4 linked regions of the Drosophila melanogaster genome follow. The protein of the gene in region 3 interacts with the protein of the main gene of each other region in a pairwise test. Each region holds a gene or a part of one and is shown on either strand. Other genes may lie near its edges. The genes, in order: Git, GCC88, Kap-alpha1 and Cse1.

The links.
Region 1: the proteins of Kap-alpha1 (region 3) and Git interact in a two-hybrid assay, tested with the Drosophila melanogaster proteins (one large-scale study listed by BioGRID).
Region 2: the proteins of Kap-alpha1 (region 3) and GCC88 interact in a two-hybrid assay, tested with the Drosophila melanogaster proteins (one large-scale study listed by BioGRID).
Region 4: the proteins of Kap-alpha1 (region 3) and Cse1 interact in a two-hybrid assay, tested with the Drosophila melanogaster proteins (one large-scale study listed by BioGRID).

The regions. Positions count from the first base shown.
Region 1 is NT_033778.4:10,641,276-10,647,073, forward strand, and holds Git (G protein-coupled receptor kinase interacting ArfGAP), read right to left. Parts: upstream 4,153-5,798; 5' UTR 4,063-4,152; intron 3,880-4,062; 5' UTR 3,856-3,879; coding exon 2,980-3,855; intron 2,688-2,979; coding exon 2,531-2,687; intron 2,468-2,530; coding exon 2,382-2,467; intron 2,320-2,381; coding exon 2,035-2,319; intron 1,662-2,034; coding exon 1,471-1,661; intron 1,399-1,470; coding exon 1,002-1,398; intron 940-1,001; coding exon 736-939; 3' UTR 543-735; downstream 1-542. Other genes in the region: Elp2 (elongator complex protein 2), read left to right, coding at 4,574-4,696, 4,748-5,531, 5,587-5,798. UniProt on the Drosophila melanogaster protein: GTPase-activating protein for ADP ribosylation factor family members, including ARF1.
Region 2 is NT_033777.3:11,227,644-11,232,616, forward strand, and holds GCC88 (GRIP and coiled-coil domain containing 88 kDa), read right to left. Parts: upstream 2,958-4,973; 5' UTR 2,807-2,957; coding exon 2,725-2,806; intron 2,672-2,724; coding exon 847-2,671; intron 779-846; coding exon 598-778; 3' UTR 528-597; downstream 1-527. Other genes in the region: CG17726 (uncharacterized protein), read left to right, coding at 1-527; CG17187 (uncharacterized protein), read right to left, coding at 3,166-4,065; Dph3 (diphthamide biosynthesis 3), read left to right, coding at 4,374-4,481, 4,551-4,625, 4,698-4,775.
Region 3 is NT_037436.4:19,805,293-19,810,898, forward strand, and holds Kap-alpha1 (karyopherin alpha1), read left to right. Parts: upstream 1-1,939; 5' UTR 1,940-2,027; intron 2,028-2,620; 5' UTR 2,621-2,644; coding exon 2,645-2,845; intron 2,846-2,907; coding exon 2,908-3,392; intron 3,393-3,451; coding exon 3,452-3,715; intron 3,716-3,782; coding exon 3,783-4,282; intron 4,283-4,346; coding exon 4,347-4,528; 3' UTR 4,529-5,106; downstream 5,107-5,606. Other genes in the region: CG34116 (uncharacterized protein), read right to left, coding at 76-711; Ccdc58 (Coiled-coil domain-containing 58), read left to right, coding at 910-945, 1,014-1,160, 1,218-1,340, 1,394-1,498; CG14104 (uncharacterized protein), read right to left, coding at 1,648-1,854; Cyp305a1 (cytochrome P450 305a1), read right to left, coding at 5,260-5,606.
Region 4 is NT_033779.5:16,820,619-16,826,939, reverse strand, and holds Cse1 (chromosome segregation 1), read left to right. Parts: upstream 1-1,732; 5' UTR 1,733-1,873; coding exon 1,874-1,958; intron 1,959-2,440; coding exon 2,441-3,300; intron 3,301-3,371; coding exon 3,372-3,855; intron 3,856-3,923; coding exon 3,924-4,226; intron 4,227-4,291; coding exon 4,292-4,448; intron 4,449-4,504; coding exon 4,505-4,805; intron 4,806-4,878; coding exon 4,879-5,616; 3' UTR 5,617-5,784; downstream 5,785-6,321. Other genes in the region: mdy (midway), read right to left, coding at 224-457, 518-790, 851-1,161, 1,218-1,361, 1,422-1,530, 6,010-6,062, 6,131-6,222, 6,281-6,321; CG13280 (uncharacterized protein), read left to right, coding at 5,934-5,997. UniProt on the Drosophila melanogaster protein: Export receptor for importin alpha. Mediates importin-alpha re-export from the nucleus to the cytoplasm after import substrates have been released into the nucleoplasm.

The sequences.
Region 1 (5,798 bases), on a different chromosome or scaffold from region 3:
GAATGTCAAAATGGGATGTGTATATTTTTATGGACACTTTTGGTGCGCTTCGAACATGGCAGAGCATATTATTTTTTAGAGACCGCGAGCACAGTCGTGCAACACTCATGGATAAATGCTTTAATCTTAAATAGTTCCTTGAACTTGCACACCACAACCACCACGAGTGTATTTTTGTCCATAGGCGAGCAATCCGACCACCAGCCGGAGGTCAGAAAAACAGCCAGAGCAAAGGCAGCAGCTACCCACTCAATTACACAAAGTTAAACAATAAGTAGAGGAAGCCACTTATACATATGTACTCCATGCTTAACTGATTGTCCATGCTTAGAACGTACAGTTAACTAAAGTGAACAATATACAGGCTCAAAATGCACCTGATTATTAAAATTATAAAGGACCCATAAATATATATATATATACACAGATATCGTAAATCTTTCCACCTCCTTTGTCTCCCCCCCTTTGAATTTGAGGGCCAATCCTTCAACACTTTTAAACTATTTTGCAATGGGTCATTAGCCCGTAGAAGAACGCATTTTGTGTATATTGAACGAAGTACATTGATTTATGTAAACATTTATTAAATACATAAACTATATGTAAAGGGGATTCTTTAAATTATTTGGCGGAAGCACTTTTGTTAGTCAGCAGGGCACTAAAGTGGTCGGTTAATACTTCAAAAAAGAGTGAGTGAGTTTAAACTTCTATGTCGATGATTGTGTTTTGGGCGTCTCAATAGAACTGCAACACCAAAGTCTTTATGGCACTGGCAATGTGGAAGGCGCAGTCGCGCACCTCCAAGGTGTTCTTCTGTATGGCCTGCTTGTCATCCGCCTCGATGGCTTTCTGCAGATTCTCGCACTCGTGCTGGATGAGAATGTTCTGGCGGGTTAGCAGTTTAAGGGTTTCGCGAGACGGGTCACTGGCATTCGGTGGCTAAAATATATGTTTATGATTATGAAACATCCTTATAAAGGAAGCCCCTATGTTCATCTTACCAAATTGGCATAAAGGGCAATTAAATCAGTCACGGCACTTCGTATAAGCTCTCCATGTGGAGCAATCGACTGCTTTTGATCCTCTGGCACTGGCTGCATAGCTCTTATGAGCTCCTTAAGACGGCGTGTGACCAAGTCAGAGCGCACTTTGACCTCCTCACCAAAAGGTTTGCCATCCCCAGCCATTTGGTACATGCTGGTCGTATTTCGTATGTCCGTATTGCCCTTGGCCACATTGGGTACCAAACGACGCTCGTACATGCTGGCTGGACGCTTGATGGTCGATTGATTTGACGAATCATTGGAGGAGCCGCTTTCCCCATTGGCAGTCCCACCTTCGGGTAGCGACAGAGGCTCGTGCTCTGTATCCGGACTGCTCAAGCTCAGATCAATGCGACTATGCAAAGGAAAATTTAAAACAAATCATAAAAATAAAGCTAGCCAAATAAATTCAAATGAAAAATCTCACAGTGGCTCATCGTACACGCTGTTGTTCGATGCGCTCGAGAACTTGGACTTGAGCTGCGTGTTCTCGCTGGACAGCATCTGCACCACGTTCTTTAGCTGATTGATCTCCGATTTGTAATCGTTCAGCTGTTTGCGCAGCGTTTCCATTTCGTTGTGCGAATTCGCGCTGCGCGGTGGCGTATGCACAATGGCCTAAGTAAAATAAAAAGCATAAAAACAAGGAAAATAAATCAATATAAATCAAGTACAACTAATAATTACAAAATCTTTAAAAATAAATATTGCATAAAAACAAAAGGCAAGGCAGACAAATCACGGTACCAACTACTACTTATTTAAACTACATTTTCACAAGTATCAGCTAGTTTTATTGAGGCTTATGTTCTACATTTGGACTTCTACCTTTGAAAATGGATTAGGTTGCCTAAAATCAGGGAGCTATAGTGCCCTGGCCTACGGATGAACACAATGGGTACAGCACGGGTTGTCTAAATGTCAGTCTTCGCTTACGCTTCTAGCCAAAGCTATTGTTCAGCTTGAGTATCTTTTGCCGCATTAGGTTTACCTGCTGGGCCATTGGTGGCACTGGGGCATAGTCGTCATCGCTGGCCACCGGATCATAAATGGGCTCGTCGTCCGACAGATTCGGATCATGACCGCCCTGCTCGAACGAGCCGAGCAGCATTGAGTTGTTGGCATACGGCAGCGATTGCAGCGACTGGTGCCCGGCCACTGGGGCATCCATTGGACGCAGGTTGGCCATATTCTGGCGTCGCATAGCATCGACGAGCACGTCGGTCAAGAGACCAGTGAACTCGGCGCGATTGAAGCGTGCCAATTTCTGACGACCCTGTAGGCGAGACCATGTCAATGAATGAAGGTTCGAATCATTAATGTACGGCGAGGTCAAACCTGATTGCGCGTGGCGCTCAAAAATGGATTAGCCGGCAAAAATGGCACAGTTGCATGATCAGCATTCAGGGTGCTTGTCGACCAGACTATTTCGTTAAGAAAAATAAGATTAGCTTTGTTTGTAGTCTATGTTTAGCAGTCATACTCACTGGCTTCGCACTCGCGTCTGTCCACCTCATCGTATAGGTCCATGACCAGCTCCTCAAACATCTTATTTGGCACGAGTTGCAACTTTCCACGTGCAATCTTCAGTTGCTCGCTTATGTCCGCGCCATTGGCATCCGGAATAATCATGTGGCGGCCACTCTACGTATGGAAATAGTATTTAAATAGAACGGAATAAGGAAATGGGTAGGAAAGGTCGAGTCAACTGTGCATTTGCTCATGGAAATATGAATCCATTAAATAAATATAGTTCTGTGACTAACAAAAATTTAAATAGATAGTTATAAACTTTAGACTGAAGACAACTTAAGGAGTTACAAGGATATAGCTTAATTGGCTTAATACATATATGATTAATCAATGGATAAGGTTAAATGGTTTGTCCAATTAAAGTATAATTTCACTCTGCAGGTAATTAAAGATCTAAACTCACCGCATGATCTGGCTTCTTGCCACCTAGGAAGGTAATGATCCTGTCGGTGACATCGTACATGGCATCAAGCAGTCTTTCGGCGATGGTGTTATGATTGTTGGCCCTGGCCAGTTCCAGAGGAGTCATCCCATTGCCATCCAAGGCATTCACATCGGCTCCATAGATGAGCAGCATCTCGATTTGTGATGCCTGGCCAAACTTGGCGGCCATGTGAAGTGGCGTTGATAGCTTGTCCTCGTGGTAGTAATTTGGGTCTGCACCCTGGACCAAGAAGCGCAGTGAAGTCTCTAGATTGCTGGTCCGCACGCTGGCATGGAGCTGTCTACTCAGCTCCTGTTCCAGACAGCCCGCTGAGCCATTGCCATCATCGTCATCCTGGAGACTGGGTTTTAGCACGAACGTTAGATTCACATGCTTGGCCTTAATAAAATCGGATTTGGTGGGATGGAGTGCATCCTTGGGCGTGGGTTTCCGCCAGCGTGGCACGTGCTTTCCGCCGGTGGAGTTGGTGCTGCCATCCAGCAGATGATGCTCCCAAACACTATTGGCTCCATGGGCGTTTAGAGAGTTCACAAAGTTCAGAACCGAGGGCTCCCAGTTACCCTGGCGTAGAGACTTCACAATGGAGATGTGCCTGCCCAGACTGCGGTGCACCGAACAGCAGTCGGCGCAGAGAAGGATGCCCCGGTTGATGCTCGCCCAGGATGGATCACCAGCTCCGCAATCGCCACAAACTTCGGTTTGCAGGCGGGATTTCCCCCTCGGCATTTTGGATCTGGTCGAAATCGTGGGTGTGGCTGGATCGGAATGATCCAAATCCGGCGGCGCTATAAATAACTTCCTGTGCGCTTCGATTATACTGCTGGCGAAACACATTCAGCATTCCAAGACGCTCACAAGCTGCAGGGGAGATACGAAAAATAGAATACCGAAGTTGAAAAAAAACTCGGACAATCTCAAGTGACTTCGTTGTGAGTCAGTTGCAAGCTGTTGGCTTTCTGATTGGAAATCCGAAACGCTGGCGGTGAAAGGTCAAATATCAGCAACTGGGGCTCACCCCTGGCCATCAATTAGGAAAATTACTTTTAATTAAACGCGGGGAGCAGCAGAAGAAAACATTTGCGGACGCCTTTTCCGAGTTTGTTTTAGTTATTTTGCGCACCAGTGTGACCAAACAGTAGCAGTGGAAAAGCGCTAGATTTGAAGTGAAAAGGCTGACGAATGTAGCAGCTGTGTTTGTGCCTTTTCAAATTTTAAAATCCATCATATACCCAGTATTACAGAAGTTGCAATATTTATTCGGTCAAAATTTTGCAATGGTCTGCAATACCGAAAAATCAAAAACCAAACAGGTGTAACTTTCGTAACTAGCCCTGCCAGACTTTTCAATATTGTCGGCTGGCCTCACTATTCCAGCTTCTTCACAACATATAGTTGTCTCACTTGCACTCCCTTAGAAATCATATGTTTATGAACAGATGAGACAGTTTTAGAAGCACTGCATTATTTGAAGCACATGTGCCAAAACAAAACAATTTCGCCGACATTCAATTCGAATTTAGTTGTCATTAAAAAATAGAAGTGCAACATTAGCATGCAAGTGGAGAATCTGCATACTTCAGTGGCCTGCAACCGCTGCACGGAATGCGCGGATTGGGGTCCAAATGGTTGGATTGCCTATGGGGCATGTAACGCCATAGCCATTATGGATCCAAAGGTAGGAAATTTTGCCTTTACTGGAAACATAGTATATTTAACCAATTTTTAGTTTCAAGGCAACTCAGCCAAGGTCCTGTTCACGCTGGTGGAGCACACAAAGCGAGTAAACACTGTGAGGTGGTTGGATTGCGACAAACTTCTTTCCGGCGGAGATGATGCAATTGCTATTCTCTGGGAACTGGATGAAACGGGAACGACTAAGAGCTTCACTCTCAAAGGACACACAAGTGGCGTAAATACTGTGGATGGAATTCGCCAACAGGATGGCTCCTGGCTTTTGGCGACCGCAGCAGCAGATACCACCATCAAGTTGTGGACTTTCCAGGATAATAATTATGTGTGCTTTCAAACCATATCTTTATCCGACGGATTCTGCTTCTGTCTTCGACTGCAGCTGCTGCCCAAGAGCAACCAGGTTCTGCTCGCCTTCAGTGGCGATGACGAGACTGTTTCCCTGTGGTCGGAACAGGTAGAAACCGCAGGTGAAGGAGATTCACTAGGTCGGCAGTTCCAACGCAAACACAAGCTCACTGGCCACGAAGACTGGGTTCGAGGTCTGGATTTCGTTGTCGATGGCGAGGATTTGCTGCTGGCCAGTGGCTCTCAGGATAACTTTATTCGTCTCTGGCGGATTGCGCCGCGCAGCAAAGAGCAAATGCAAGAGAATCGGGTTGATCTGCATCAATTGAGCCACAACGACGATGAGATAAAGGTGGAGGAGAAGATACTACAACTGGGGAAAGAAGCCTGGTATGCAGTGAGCTTGGAATCGGTTCTATATGGACATGAGGGATGGATTTATGGGGTCCACTGGCACAAAACACCCGATCAAGGTAAAGCACAGCAATTGAACTCCCCAAAGACCTTTCAAAAACGTTATCCATTTAGAGCTCCGCCTTCTATCCGCTTCTATTGACAAGACCGTCATAATTTGGGCACCTACGGAAGAAGGCATTTGGTTGGAAGAAGTTCGCGTGGGTGAAGTGGGTGGAAACTCCGTGGGCTTCTATGGTGGAAAGTTCTCCGGCGATGGACACTCGATCATGGCCCACAGCTACCAAGGTGGCTTTCATATTTGGAGCCAAGATCCAGATCGGCCA
Region 2 (4,973 bases), on a different chromosome or scaffold from region 3:
GTAGCCAAACACCCGTTTCGAGTCTTTATCGACCGCTGCCCGGCGAGACACGATCCTGTTTGGAGCACTCCCTGGAGACGGAACGACAGGTGGGACTGCTCGCCGAGCGCATCGAACGGGATGGCGGCATCGCTCTAATCATGGATTATGGCCATTTTGGCGAGAAAACCGACACTTTCCGGGCCTTCAAGCAGCACAAGCTGCACGATCCGCTGGTGGAGCCGGGCAGTGCTGATCTCACGGCCGATGTGGACTTCAAGCTAGTGCGGCACATTGCCGAGACACGCGGAAATGTCCACTGCTGCGGTCCCGTGGAGCAGGGACTGTTCCTGCAGCGAATGCAGGGTGAGGCTCGACTGGAGCAACTGTTGGCACATGCGCTGCCCGAAAACCAGGAGATCATTCGCTCCGGCTACGAGATGCTCACGGATCCAGCCCAGATGGGCACTCGCTTTAAGTTCCTGGCCATGTTTCCCGGCGTGCTAGCTGCCCACCTAGACAAATACCCAGTCGTCGGATTTAGTTAGTTATCTATTTAGGATCTGTTTGTAGGGTTTTAAATATGTTGCACATGATTGTTGAACAAAAGTACGAATGTTATTTCTTCTGGAATGATGCATTGATCGCCTGCATCTCTGCGGCGGTGAACTGGAGCACCGCCGAGATGGCGTTCAGCATGTGACGCTTGCCGTCCGCGTCCCGGGTAACAATGTAGCTGATAATAACGTTCTTCAGGTACTCCAGATTGGCACCCTCGCGCGTCTTGCAACGTTCGAGTCTAGAATGGGAGTAGAGATCGTGGCATGACTTTCTAAGACAACAACGATAACAACGACAACGACGCACCTGTCCACCTGCTCCTTGAGGCACTCGATCTTCTCGTGCATTTCCTGCTGAGATGTCACCTTGTCCTGGATCGCCTTTCGCAGCGTCGACTCGGCGGCGTATTTGGCTTTCCGCAGTGTCGTGATTTCGATGTCCTTGCGCGCCAACTCGTTGGCATAGTGCAGCATGTGGCAGTTCTCGCCCATCGACATTTTCTTGGAGCGCACCTTTAGCTTTCTTTCCCGCTGCTCCCCCTCCACGCTGTCGGTGTCGGAGGAATAGTGAAAGGAATCGGCAGCTGCTTCAAGTGTGGGTGTGGCCAGTGTGCTGCCCACACCGCTGGCCGAGTGAAAGACCTCGAAGGAGGTCTGCAGTGTCTTAATCTCCTGCTCCTTCTCATCCAGCAGCTGCAGTGACCTCTGGCGCTGCTTCTGCAGTAGCTGTTCCAGCTCGTTCAGTTTGCAGCGCGTCTCGTTCTCCAGTTCAGCCTTGGCTTCCTGCCACTTGGTTCGTTCGTTCTTCAATGCCAGGCGCAGCTTTTCGCCCTGCTGCTTTAGTTCGACTTCCGCCTCGTCGATGTTGCGATTGAGCACCTGCACCTTCTCCTGCAGCGTTTGGATGTGCGAGTGCTGCAGCTGCACCTTCTGTTCGAGTAGCTGTCGCTGCTGCTTGGATGCCTCGAGCATTTGCTGCACACCCTGAAGCTGTTGCTCGCAGTGGGCGTGACTCTCGACTCGGGTAGCTGTTTGGCCGCTAAATGATAGGATCTCCCCGAGATCCAGTGGATTGGCAGAACGGGCATTGGCTGTGGTAAGCAGTTTCTTCAAGCGCACCATCTCGTCAACCAGCGTGGCTACGTCCACATCTTCGTTTAGCGCCCTTGAATTGGATGTTGGACGCACATGTGCCTGCTCTAGATCCTGCAGCTGCTGCTTCAAATCATGGATGCTGTCCTGATCTTGCTGACGCAGGCGGTCGTAGCTGCCGACAGTGGTGCTGAGCTCCGCCAGGCGTGCCTCTAGACTGGCCACGCGATCCTCGTGCAGCGCCGCCTGCCTGCGACTCTGTTCCTCGGCACGCAGCACGCGACGCTGTTCCTGACGAATGGCCACTGCATGCTGCTCCTTCAGTTGCTGCATCTCAAGGCGCACTTGCTGAAGGAGAGCGGCGCTGTCCGCACTCGCTGACGCTGCTGCAGAGTGCTCGGTCTTGGCCTGGAACTGTTTCAGCTGGGAGCGAGCCTCCTTTAGCTGGGATTGCAATTCCCGTAGCCGGCTATTCTCTGCCTCGTTGCTGGCGAACTGGGTCTTGAAGTTGTTTAACTGCATCTCAATGTTGTCCTTTAGATGCCGCTCGTCCGCATAGAGTTTCTGCAGTTCGCGGATCATGAGCATTTGGTTGTTGGTCTCTTTCTCGCGCTCCTGTCGCTCCACGATCCACTTGGCCTTGATCTCGTCCACGTCGCTTTTGGCCCGAGCAGCCTGCTCCTTGGCCCGGGTATTAAGCTCCTGAATGGTCTGCTCCTTTTGGGCGATTTGGCTGCGCAGTTGCTTTTTATCCGCCTGAAAGGAGGCCTCCATGCGGGATTTCTCAGCGGAAAGAGTGGCCAGCGAGTTCATCAGGGTGATAATTTGGGTCTGCAGTTGACCCTCGGCCGGGGGAGCAGGCGGACCCGGTGCAGCGCCCTCGGTTGCTCCATCCGCAGAGTCGGTGCTGGTTTTTTTGGACTCCAACTCCCTGGCCGGCGATCCGGACTCGCCCACCGCCGTGGCCTCCGCATGCGCCGCCAGACTCGTCTCCAATGCCTCCTTCTCCTTAAGCAGACCCTTGTAGGCAGTGACCACGTCTACAAATTGGGCTCATTAATCCATTTGCATTGCGAATTCATCTATGTCTCACCTTTTAGACGCTTTTCATAGCGCCCCAGTTGCTCCTTTTGGGTGGACACCAGCGCCTCCAGCTCCCTCTGTCGCTTCTCCATTTCGCCTTGAAAGGGAATTAGTTCATTTACTTTCAGTTCGCTTAGTAGTTCAATTTATTTATCTCCCGTGTCATTTTTGCATTTCTTTTAATTAACAAATTTCAGCAGCTGGCACGCGGGCCTGCCAACTTGTCATGTTTGCTCAGGCACTAAAAATTGCCATCATTCTGATTTAAACTTTTTTTTATTTTTGCGGTTTTTCAAAAAATAATTAATAACCAAATTTACATAAATTAAAAACTATTTTAAATGTAAATGTATTATAAATCAGCTGCATAGTTGCTAAATTGAGATATTTTCAAACATTAATATTAGTCCAATTAAAGTAAATTAAATGTTGAGCCTAACTAAATCTTATTTCATTCGCCCTCCTCGTCCTTCATCATCTGCTCAATGAGTCTCTTACGTTCCTCAGCTTGGCGCAGCTTTCGCATGACCAGGTCCTCGTAGTCGGTGGATGACGCACTGCACCCAGTGGTGGCCGATTTGGTTGTCTGCTTGTCTGCCGCCGGCGGCGTTACCCACTCGAAGTGCAGCGGCTTGGCGGGATCGCCTTTTTCGTAGGCCAAGACCATGTCGCAGGCTTCGCGCGTGGCCAGCTCCACCATGGCGCGTCCGCGTCGCTTGCTGTTGACCACCAGGGCCACCACGTCGCCGTACTTCTTCAGATACTTGAGCAGCTCTTGCTGTGTGTAATCCTGGCCAGGTTCGGCCTTCCACTTCATCTTGATGCGATGCTGGGCGGAATCAAACTGGACCGGCTGTTGCTGCAGTTTCTGTTGCTCCGCGTGATTCCGCCGGAACTGCTCCTGCATGGCTCGCTGCTCCTCCTCCAGCAGACGGGAGCCCTCGCGTCGCAACCGCTCGATCTGCTCATGCAGCACCTCCTCGTCGCTTTTGGCCACCGTGCTGTAGGGTTGGCTCTTCGCCAGTTTGTGCAGTGCCGCCCGTTCACGTTCCTCCAGTTCCAGCTTCAGCTTCTGCCGCTTCCCGTCCAGTTGGCGACTCCTCAGCTCCGCCGCCTTCTTGGCCTTCAGCACTTTGTCATAAGCTGCGCGCGCGGATTCATCCGTGAGGATCTCCAGAGCCTTGGACAACTCATGGAAGCGCTCGACTGCCTTCGGATTGTCCGGATTCTTGTCGGGATGGCACTCGAGGGCCTTCTTGCGGTACGCCTTGCGTATCTCATTTTGATCAGACTCGAGAGAAATGCCCAGAAGATCGTAAAGATTCACGTCACTGTACTTTTTGCTAGCCATTTAGTCTTATTTTACTCCTTATTCAACAACTGGAACATGGGTTTGTTTTGCAGTTTGTCTTTTTTGGGCAAAAGTTAGCTAAAATATACTATTTTATACGAGACTTATTTCACAACTGCAGCCGGCGGTCCAAAAATGTCCAAATAAAACATTTGCAATTGTTTACTGGATCAGCTGTTCGCTGCAACGAGTTGGCAGCCCCGCAACACAACGTGCCCATTTGTTTGGCGTGGATTAATCTAAGTTATCGCAAAAAAAACTCAAATATAATATGACCTTTAGGCGCTGAATTAAGCTGAAGGTACGTCATGAGCATCTATCACGACGAGGTGGAGATCGAGGACTTCGAGTACGACGAGGAGGAGGAGATGTACTACTATCCCTGTCCATGCGGCGATCGATTTCAGATCTCCAAGGTAACGAGTCGTATACGCAACCTTTTTTTTTCTGGACTCCCCATATCACTTGGTAAATTTCCACTTTAGGAGGAGCTAATCGAGGGCGAGGAGGTGGCCACCTGTCCCAGCTGCTCCCTAGTCATCAAGGTCATATACGATCCGGTAAGTGACTCATTCAGAAATACACCTAGAACTCCCCAGAAAACTCAAGCAATCTGATTTTCCGAATTTCAGGAGATGTTCAAAGCTGAGGAGGATGAAGAAAGTGCGCTGAACGAGAAGCTCGGCGACCTGAAGCTCGAGAAGAACTAACACACAGTTTGGTGTAATTAAATAGTTTTTATTTATATATTTTTATATATATATAGACTTCATTTTAGTGTAAATAATACGATGACTAGTAAAACAATGATTTCAAATTATGCAAGCTCGCAAAAACAGTTTCGATTCGTTATGGATTATTCGTTTTGGGTGAATTACAAAGGATTTATACACACATTCTAGAATATC
Region 3 (5,606 bases):
TAAAGATTAAACACAATATGTACAGAGTATGTATATTAGCTTAAATTAAGTCCTACTTAATCCTGATTAACTATTCTACTCCGCCGTTGGAACCGTATTCAGAGTAAGGCGTCGTAGCCTGCCCAATACGAAGATTTCGTCTATAGCTTTTTTGGCATAGAATTTTTGGTCCTCGCTGAGTTTGCGGTACTCAAGGGACCAGGTCTGTGCATAAACATTGGACTCCTCGACCCCACTTGCGTCGAGTGGTAGCGCGATCTCGGGAATGTCCGGAATACGGGCTGAAGCTGCAGTGGAATCTCCGCCGCTGACCGCTTCCCCCACAAAGGCGGCAACATCGGCAGGAGAGGGTTTTGTTTCCAACTCATCCGACATGGATTGTTGGTCATCATGTTCCTCATGATGCTCCTGGTCCGTCTCCTCCTTTCTGTCGTTGGATTCGCCCTTGGAATTGTAGCAGCAGAATGCCTGTTTCTTGAGATACTGCAGGTGACACCGGTGACGCCTCAGGTTCGTTGTGGATTTGTGGGTGAAGGACATAATGCTCCTGCAGCCGATGCAGAACAGTACGTGCTCCAGAAAGCTACCATCGTCCTTCTTGATCTTGCGATACACCCGCCACACAGTGCTCCGTGTGCTTTTGTCATTAACAGCCAATTGGTAGACGCCGGTTTCAATTTTCTCGTGAATATCATCGAATTTTAGCGGCATCTTGAATTATTTTGCTATTTTGTTTTGTTTTGTTCAACTAGTCTTTATCATCCACATCGATTGTCCATAATCGTGCTAATCGATTGCACCGCCCAGGTGGCAACCCCGATTAGAGGCACATTGCGCCGGCAATTTTACATATATCATTTTGTTTTTATTATTTTTTAAAGTGTTTTCTTGTTTTCCTACCTGGTTTAAATGGCGGCATTGTGCTTAGACTTTCTCGGCTTCCAGGTGGGGGTTGGAATATTGTTGTTTGGGTTAGTAGCCGGCATACTAAATGGCTTTAAGTTTCCAAACAGGAGGCACTGAAGAAGATGCGAGATGTGGACGACAAGATTATATATGCACTAAATGCCCTGCCAACGGAGTCGTTTAAGGGTCAAGTGAACAGTGAAAGCACCTGTCGCGATCTGTACGCGAAGCTCCAGGAGTCACACTTGGCCAGGGTAAATCCTGATTAAGTACAACACACGGGGATCTTGACAGATAGCTTCTCCTTGCAGCAAGAAAGCATACGCAGTTGCATAACAATTTCGGCTAGTAATCTGAAGAAGCTAAGGGAAAAGCGGGAGACCCAGCCGGATGATGTGGATACGGATAACCAGTTTAGGGCGGAGCAGCGCAAGGTAACCGAAATACCTAAGTCTTACTCTTAACTGATGCCTATGATCCTTTCCAGCTGCGGGTTCTCCAGGCCGAGCTCAATGTCGAGGACATCATTAAAGATCGTTCCTACAAGACCTTCAATGAACGATGCCGGTCCTATTTTCATGCTGGCCAATAGGTGGAACAAATGCAATGACTAGTTTTAGGTGGATTTATTAGCAGAAGTCTCATGGAACTGCCAAGCCAGAAGGCATTTACATGCACTCCGTTGTATTACAAGTTGTTTACAACAAGTACATAAATATAACAGTCTAAAAAGCACAAACTTTATTCGTCGCGGGGCAGGTTGTATGTAGCGTAAACCGATCCGACGGGTACGCATTTTAGGTTGGCCAAGGCTTCCAGGACGCGCTGGGTGGCATCCTTTAGGTCGTTGTACTCGTGCAGCAGTTCAATGATCTTCTTTTTCTGACCCTCTGACGTTTCATTTGTCTTATTGGCCGTTTTGCGCGACTTTTTCTTATTTTCTTTCATGTTTAAATTAAATGCAATTGGATTGGAATTACTGCTATCGGTTGATATCGCTATCGATAGCGCGTCAGCTGTGTGCATTGCATTTTGACAGTCCGGCATCCCCGTTCCTCACAACGTGTAAAATCTCCCGTCCCCTTGCATGATTAAGACGAGAAAAGGATTCTCCGGAACAGGTAAATTGTGTTCTAATTACGTATCTGAAGGCGCCTCTTCTAACCAGGAGTTGTGGTGGCTCAAAGAAGGGCGTAACCGGAGACCAGCGAATGGCTCATGCTGGCTGACCTAAGCCCGCACCTATACGCACAAACGCAAAGCAGCCGTGTGTGCACATATGTACATACACGTACAATGAAATGTGAAAGTGTTGTGATTGTGCATTTTGCCAGGAAAACTGAATAGTTCATTAAATGTGAACCTATTATATGTAAATTATTCGCCTGACAACGTAATCTTTATGTTTCCGGAAATGTAAAATTAGCCTAGAGCAGGCGCTAAGCGAATGTTCAGTGGTTACAGGGCGTAATAATCCTGGTGGGAGTGGATGAGAACATTGGGGAACACCTAGTGATGATTATAAACGTTCAATTCAACTAGTTCGCATTCCACGACGACCTCTACCTATATTTTCTAGATTATTTGCACTTTCGTTTAGCATTTGATCACAGTAGCGGCGAAAATCAAGTCGCACTCACTTTTTATCTGAAACCTGTCTTTACGACTTAAATTATTCTGTTCTCAAAGAAATATTTTTTTTAACTATTTCAAGCTTTTGAATTGCCAAGACGACGAAATGTCTGCCAGCCACAAACAGCGTTATAAAAATGCCGCCTTGGACTCCACAGAGATGCGTCGTCGTCGCGAGGAGGTGGGCATCCAGTTGCGAAAAAACAAACGCGAACAGCAGCTCTTTAAGCGACGCAATGTGGTTCTTGAGCCGGCTACATCCTCAACATCAGCCGGAGTGGAGAGCAACACCGATAACGAACAGCAGGTATATTTTGATCAAGTTTGGCCTGATAGCATAGTCTTAACTATCTCTCCATTCCAATGCAGGCTGCCGACATGCACATGGCTGACAGCAGCACTGGCGGTCAAAACGAGGAAGCTGCTGGAAGCGGGGCACAGCCATCCGTAATCAACGAGGAAATGATTCAAATGCTCTTCAGTGGACGTGAAAACGAACAGCTTGAGGCGACTCAAAAGTTCCGCAAACTGCTGTCCCGCGATCCCAATCCTCCCATTGAGGAAGTCATCCAGAAGGGGATAGTGCCACAGTTTGTCACCTTTTTGCGAAATAGCGCAAATGCCACGCTGCAGTTCGAGGCCGCCTGGACGCTAACGAACATCGCATCGGGCACCTCGCAACAGACCAAGGTGGTTATCGAGGCCGGGGCAGTGCCTATCTTCATTGATTTGCTCTCCAGTCCCCATGATGATGTTCAGGAACAGGCCGTGTGGGCCCTAGGCAACATAGCCGGTGACTCACCCATGTGTCGAGACCATTTGCTCGGCTCCGGCATTCTAGAGCCTCTCCTGCAGTAAGTTATAAATAATTATATTGATAAGATTGCGCCAAAGTAGGTGTGACTTCTTGCAGTGTATTGAGCAACTCGGATCGCATTACCATGATACGGAATGCGGTGTGGACACTTTCAAACTTGTGCCGCGGCAAAAGCCCTCCCGCAGACTTTGCCAAAATTAGCCATGGTCTACCAATACTGGCACGGTTGCTGAAGTACACTGATGCGGATGTACTAAGCGATACTTGCTGGGCCATAGGCTACCTGTCAGATGGTCCCAATGATAAAATCCAGGCTGTAATTGATGCGGGTGTTTGCCGTCGCCTGGTTGAGCTGCTATTGTAAGTAGTCCTGCTGCGCCATTACAAATTAAAATTACACTTATGATTTGTTGACCTATCCTGGCAGACATCCTCAGCAGAACGTGAGCACAGCTGCTCTGAGGGCCGTGGGCAATATTGTGACAGGCGACGATCAGCAGACCCAGGTGATATTGGGGTACAACGCTTTGACCTGCATTAGCCACCTGCTGCATTCGACGGCGGAAACAATCAAGAAGGAGTCGTGCTGGACAATCTCAAATATTGCAGCCGGCAATCGTGAGCAGATCCAGGCCTTAATCAATGCCAACATATTCCCGCAGCTGATGGTTATCATGCAGACGGCCGAATTTAAGACTCGCAAGGAGGCCGCATGGGCCATTACCAACGCAACCAGCAGCGGTACGCACGAACAGATCCACTACCTGGTGCAGGTTGGCTGTGTGCCGCCCATGTGCGATTTTCTCACCGTCGTCGACTCGGACATCGTCCAAGTGGCGCTAAATGCACTTGAAAACATTTTGAAGGCAGGTGAAAAGTTCCAGACGCGACCAAATCCCTATGCTATTACCATCGAGGAATGCGGAGGTAACGCTATTTATTTTTACTTTCAAATTTCCATTTAAATATCGATTCTGTTAATATTATATAGGTTTGGACAAAATAGAGTATCTGCAGGCGCATGAAAACCGCGACATCTACCACAAATCATTTTACATTATCGAACAGTACTTCGGCAACGAAGAGGAGGATAGCCGGGTGGCTCCCGTGGCAGGCACGCAACAGTTTGAGTTCGATCCGGACAACATGCCCAGCACCGGATTTAACTTTTAGCACCCTACCGCGCAGGACATCGTTTAACTATTCAAATACGAATCCCTCAAGTCCTAAACACACAGAAGCATATGCAACAGGAAGCGAAGCCTTGCCGCCGGGATTTAAATGAAGGCGGCCAGAGCACGGACATGAAAAATAGACCGCATGAGAAGGCGTCTGCCTTGCCCAAGTGCAGTCACTACTAGCATTTAAGGAAAGATGGTCGTTCGGTCGGCTCGTTTCTTTGTTACAATCACTCACCTGCTTATTGTATCAGCGTTTAGTTCTATAATTTTCGAAGTGGTCCAGGACCAGGCATGACGAGATTGCTTTCATTTAGTTCGATTGTACTAATTTAATATGTTATACAGAACCCATTGTATATGTTTTTGCTTTCCTCAAATTGAGTCTGTAAATATTTTCCATTTTATATATATATTTTCCAGCCCAAGTACGATGAGATCCTCACATGGTGTTGTTATACATTCTGATTCATTTGATCATTTTGTTATGCGAATCGCCGAATGTAAATTTGTTTAAATTATAAAGCATTGTAATTTAATTTAGAGGACATCAATAAACAACATCTAGACCACAGCTATGCAGATTGGCATAAGTTTTTATTGAATCTTTAAGCTTATAATATCCTCATGTGTAAATAATTTTCGGAATCCTTGGAAATATCCTAGTGGATTCAGCACCATATCTCTTGACCTATAATACCGACACCATCGACTCCAGTCACGAACTTAGGTGCGCTTGACGAACTGCACCTTGTATGGTTTTGGAGTAAGCGTAATCCCAGGCAGAAGCACCATTGATGGAGACTCTCCCGCCGGCAGGACAACGCTAAAATGCTGCACGATCCGCACTAGAAACGAGAAGATGCAGGCACGGGCGAGGGCATCGCCCAGACAACGGCGTCTGCCCATGCCGAAGGGCATGAAGTACTCGTCCTTGAAGCACTTGCCAGCCGAATCGATGAACCTCTCTGGGCGGAACTCCAGCGGATCCTTCCAGTGCTCCTTATCGAGATGCACTGAACGTAGGCTAATCAGAATTGTGGCATTTTTCGGAATGTCGTAGCCACCCAGCT
Region 4 (6,321 bases), on a different chromosome or scaffold from region 3:
GACACTTAAATTCATTAACAAATGCATTCAATAACAATCTATTTGTGTTAATCAGTACTACATGCATGTGCAAAAGTCATACAAAATATGCTTTGTAAATTGGCAATCACAAGTTTCCTTCTTAACTTGCATTCTGGCTTATAAATTACGAAAAGTACACGGACCCGACCGATGCAGATATTTCAGTGTTGCTCCATTTTTAAATGTTAACCTTTTTTGAAACCTAACTACTGTAGTCGGTGCCGTTGAGCGAGTTTTTGAAATGCTGGACGACATAATCGTGATAATAGGCCATTATGCACAGAGGCTGACCAAGAATAATGGAAGCCCACACGATTATATTGCCCATTCGGGGACCCAGTTTCTTTTCAATGGATTTGGATATGGCCGATAGGGGAATCTGACCCATCATGCCCATAAATGCCCAGATCTTGTATATTTGCAAAGGAACTGAAACCTGAAAATATAAATTATATTATTGTACAAAATTTGAAATTCTAAATATCAACCCTCATACCAAATATTCATGGAAGACGGCACTGAAAAGAAAGACAATAGTAGAGGCCTGTCTTGAGGAATATCCCATTTGGACCACAGGGATGTAGAGATGACGCACGCACCACCTATGAACTGGCATGTTCCATGTACGCCAGAAGGTGTCAATGTTATTCGCATTCCACCAATCACAATAAAAATTGCGATCTGCAAAATTCAGCAGTTCGCCGACCGCATTAAGAAAAGAGTGGAACATTAGATAGAAAAAGCAGAGCCAGCAAAGATGATTGGGTAGCTAATTAAAGAAAAATTATTAAATAATACTCAAACGTTTTATAATTTTCACTCTACCAACCGCAAGTTTAAGAAGTCGCTCAGTGGCTAAGGCCACGTCCATATTGGAGAACGGAATCAGGGAGTTCCGAACCGATGGAATGATCCATTGTTGAAACAAGGCCATAACCACATTCACTCCAATCACCACCTCCAATAAACGCTTCAGCAAAAAGCGTTTGCGCACGCGAGAAGTTCGCGGGAAATTCAACTCATAGCAGAGAGTGGGCGCGCAAAGGAAGTACAGGAGATCCTTGTATGTGAGATTATCAGGATATTGCACCAGCTTGGAAACGTCCTCGTCTTCTTCACCTCCATTCAAAACTCCTTTTTCTGGATGAAAGATGAATTTTTAATATATGACATTCCGTTGAGAGATCTCAACATACTTAGTTCCGCCAAAGTTATGCTTGGTCGACGCTCCCGCGGATTCTTTTGATAATAAGTCTGACGGCACCACATATTCGTCTGCACATAGGACCATAGTTTTAGGAACAACACAGAGTAAAAGAAGCAAACTGTTGAAGCGCCCACTAAAGATTAACAGATAATTAAATATTTTAAAATACACCTAAACTAAGTTAATTTCTCACTCAAACTAAAAGCATGTCCTTTTAGGTGAATTGTTACCACCGGTAGGCAAACCAAGACAACAATGTTCACTATCTGGATGAACAAGCCCAAGCCCTCTGCAATTATTTCCTGGAAAAGAATTACAAATTTGTTTTAATTTTTAATTCATTCAGTTGGTTTTTGAAAAAAAAAAACAGGAATTGATATCATATCAAATGATACTAAATTAGTAAAGTTCAATATGCGATATTTCTGATATGAACATTTAAAATCTAAAACCATCGAATCCTAGTAACAGTAACTATAAACAATCGATATCGAAAACTCGCCCTGAGTTCCATCCCCAGATCGGCGAGCATTGTGTGCGAAAACGAATTGCGATTTCATTTCATGTTGCAAGAGTGTGGAGGAACAAGCCACGAGTGATATAAATTAAAGCAAATAGGACCATCGAAAAGAAAATATACTCAAAATGGAAGTGACAGAGGCAAATTTACAGCTGCTGGCCGGTTATTTGCAGCAGACGCTGAGCGCCGATCCCAATGTCCGCCGGCCGGGTGAGTGTGTGTGTGTAGGAATGCATGTGCACACACACAACTGCACATGCGTGCAGGGGTGCTGATGTGTATGTGCGCGGGAAATGGTTTTTGGCGACGCCAAAGAAAAATACGGTTTTTAAATCCATTTGAAGTTGTCTACAAGTTTTCCCTATGTCAAAGAATTTATACAGTCACGCTTTCTATTAATTGAATCGAGATTAGCTGATCTTGATATGACTGTTGCCAAGCCACCTTTCAAAACCATAGACCTAGTTTTAGGATTATTTAAGGCATACCAAGCCTATAGACTCCGCACCACCATAACCAAGCTTTTGAAAATATTGTATAAAAAACTTATTGCTTGAATTGAAAATATGTTTAGTCTAACGAGAAACACTGTAAGCTCCTATCGGTTCCTTATATATTTGTATTTGCAACATCCGATTTACATAAGTACAATAGTTCTAACAAACACACCATTTCCTTCTCTACTTTTATAGCCGAAAAACTTTTGGAGTCCACGGAACTACAGCAGAATTACCCGATCCTACTGCTCAATCTGATAGACAAAGCCCAAATGGACATGACTACGCGGGTGGCGGGAGCCATTGCCTTTAAGAACTATATTAAGCGGAATTGGGCAGCCCACCTTGACAGCGACGGACCGGATCGCATCCACGAAAGTGACAGGAATACAATTAAGACCTTGATCGTTACGCTAATGCTCCACTCACCGGTGGCATTGCAAAAACAACTAAGCGACGCGGTCAGCATCATAGGCAAATATGATTTTCCCAAAAAATGGCCGCAGCTTATCGACGAGATGGTGGAGAGATTTGCCTCTGGTGATTTCAATGTCATCAACGGCGTTTTGCAAACCGCACACTCGCTTTTCAAGCGCTATCGTTATGAGTTCAAGTCGCAGGCTTTGTGGGAGGAGATCAAATTTGTACTGGATCGTATGGCTAAACCTCTGACAGACCTGCTCCAGGCCACAATGCAGTTGACTAAGGTGCACGAGAACAATGCCGGCGCCCTGAAGGTCATCTACGGTTCATTGGTCCTTGTGAACAAGGTGTTTTTCTCGCTCAACTCCCAAGATTTGCCGGAGTTCTTTGAGGACAATATCAATACGTGGATGGGAGCGTTTATTCAGCAACTAGCTGCGGATGTGCCATCCCTGCGTACTGCAGATGATGAGGATGCGGGTGTTCTAGAGCATCTGCGTGCTCAAGTCTGCGAGAACATTTGCCTTTATGCAAAAAAGTACGACGAGGAGTTCAAGCCATTTATGGAGCAATTTGTGACTGCAGTTTGGGAGTTACTGGTCAAGACAAGTTTGCACACCAAGTACGATTCGGTAAGTAACAGAAACCATACGCTTTCTTAATAATTATTTTTATAATTTTTCCATTCTTATTTTGCGCACAGTTGGTCTCCCATGCTCTGCAGTTCCTCTCTGTGGTGGCTGACCGCCAGCATTATCAGAGCATTTTCGAGAACCCAGAGATTCTTGCTCAGATCTGCGATAAAGTTGTCATTCCCAATCTAGACATCCGGCCCTCAGATGAAGAAATTTTCGAGGACAGTCCGGAGGAGTACATTCGAAGGGATATTGAAGGCTCTGACATTGACACACGACGTCGGGCGGCATGTGATCTGGTGAAGACTCTATCAATCAACTTTGAACAAAAGATCTTTGGCATTTTTGGCCAGTATCTAGAGAGATTGTTGACCAAGTACAAGGAGAATCCGGCTACCAATTGGAGGTCAAAGGATACGGCAATTTATTTGGTTACTTCGTGGGCATCTCGAGGAGGAACTCAAAAGCATGGCATCACACAGACCTCGGAGTTGGTTCCACTTCCCGAATTTTGTGCCCAGCAAATTATTCCAGAACTGGAAAGACCCAACAGTAAGCCCAAATAACCATTTTCCCAATTCGATCATCTTATATCTGCATTCTTCCAATGCTCTTTGCAGTTAACGAGTTTCCTGTTCTTAAGGCTGCTGCAATTAAGTATGTAATGGTGTTCCGCAGCATTTTGGGTCCCCAAGTCTTAGCAAGCTGCCTGCCCCAGCTAATTCGACATCTCCCCGCCGAAAGCTCTGTTGTTCATAGCTATGCTGCTTGTTCAGTGGAGAAGATCCTTTCTATGCGGGATGCTAGCAACGCGATCGTTTTTGGTCCTCAGATTTTAGCACCTTACACAACTGAACTAATTAGTGGGTTATTTGCGACCCTTTCACTCCCAGGTTCCGGTGAAAATGAGTACGTAATGAAAGGTGAGTTTGGGGGACTATCTCATACGTTTCTAATATGTTAACAAAACTCTAATTATTATTATTAGCCATTATGCGAAGTTTTTCGGTCTTGCAATCGGCCGCCATGCCCTTTATGGGCGTCGCCCTTCCACGGCTTACCGAGATTCTCACCCAAGTGGCCAAGAATCCATCGCGTCCGCAGTTCAACCACTATCTTTTTGAAACGCTGGCTCTGTGTATAAAGTAAGTGTTATGCATTTTGGTGGTAAAGAGCAATAACAAATTTTCTTTTTCCCTAGAATTGTTTGTCACGCCGATTCCTCGGCTGTGAGCTCCTTTGAGGAGGCATTGTTCCCAGTTTTCCAGGGCATCTTACAGCAGGACATTGTCGAATTTATGCCCTACGTCTTCCAGATGCTTTCTGTGCTGTTGGAAATGCGCGAGGGCACTGGTACCATACCGGAACCCTATTGGGCTTTGTTCCCCTGCTTGTTGTCACCAGCTCTGTGGGACAGGACGGGCAATGTCACACCATTAATTCGCCTGATTTCTGCTTTCATCAAGCAGGGATCTGCTCAGATTCAAGCCTTGGGTAAACTGGTAAGTTATATTATACATCACAAATTTTATTTTACAGAGTCCAATCTTATGCATTTTTCAACATATATTTCAGAGCGGTATCCTCGGAATATTCCAAAAGATGATTGCCTCCAAGGCTAATGACCATGAAGGGTTTTATCTTCTCCAGAATCTGCTTTCCTACTACCCTCCCGCTGAGATTCAAACTAATCTTCGTCAGATCTTTGGCCTGCTCTTCCAGCGATTGTCTCTCTCAAAGACTCCGAAGTATTTAAGCGGCATCATTATCTTCTTTAGCTTTTATGTGATTAAGTTCAGTGGCAGTCAGATGGCTCAATTGATAGATGAGATTCAGCCTAACCTATTTGGCATGCTGCTGGACCGCGTGTTTATCACCGAAATGGGCAAGATTCCCAAGGAACAGGATCGCAAAATGGTGGCCGTGGGTGTCACTAAGCTACTTACAGAAACTCCTGAGATATTGCAGCAACAGTACGCTACTTTCTGGCCACGACTGCTGCATTCTCTAATCGATCTTTTTGAACGACCACCAGAGAAATTGATGGGTCTCGAAATAGGAGAGACAGCTGGAGTTGCCGAAGATCCCGATGCGGGCTATCAAGTGGCATTTGCCCAACTGACTCATGCCCAGCCCAACCAGCAGGATCACCTGGCTGAGATTAAGGATGCTCGCCAGTTTCTAGCAACTTCGCTCTCTAAGTTTGCCCAGGCTAGGGCAGGAGAATTTTCCACTTTGTTGTCGCCCCTGGAGCCGGAGTACAAGCAAGTACTCCAGAAATATTGTGATCAGGCTGGAGTACGCATTGCCTAAAGGAATCGACCGACTTTAAGCTCATTCATCGCAATCAAACCTCGCCATACATTCGAAAATTTATGCATACACGCACTCGATCACTCATTGCATGCCCAGTTTATTGTCATTTAAAAATTGTATCTAATATATGTAAGTTTTGTAAACAATTAAAAATTATGTTTTCCGAAACTAGTGTGTTTCAACTGCGATAACTTCTGAATATTTCATACTTTTCTCTCTGATAAACAAATCATTTCTTGTCAAACACCCTTCACTCAATTTCAAAATTGTGAATTTAGAATTAACTAGATATTTCGAAATTTATCATATAAGCCATGTTCAAGCTAATAACGTATTTCAAGTCACGATCGAAGAAAATAGGCGTGAGATGCTATCAAAGTAAGTACTTACCATGGCTAGACCCTTCTCCACAGCCAAACAGAGCGAGATATGCACTAAAGAGTCTGTAAAATATGGTGAGACGAAGGTTATCAATTTCGTTTGCGTAATCCTTGATTTTGTGCGTGCTTACAAATGCTCAGGATTAGGGCGTTATGTCCTTCGCCTTCGTTGTGTCCGCTTATGAAGAAGAACCAATCCAGTGGATTGATGCGAATGCCATACCTAAAAAAATAATGAATTAGCTAAAACTTGTATTTCTACTCAAGATCATCGTAGTTACTTTAGGAGATTCTCCAAGCCCAAACGCAGACCTCCAATGCA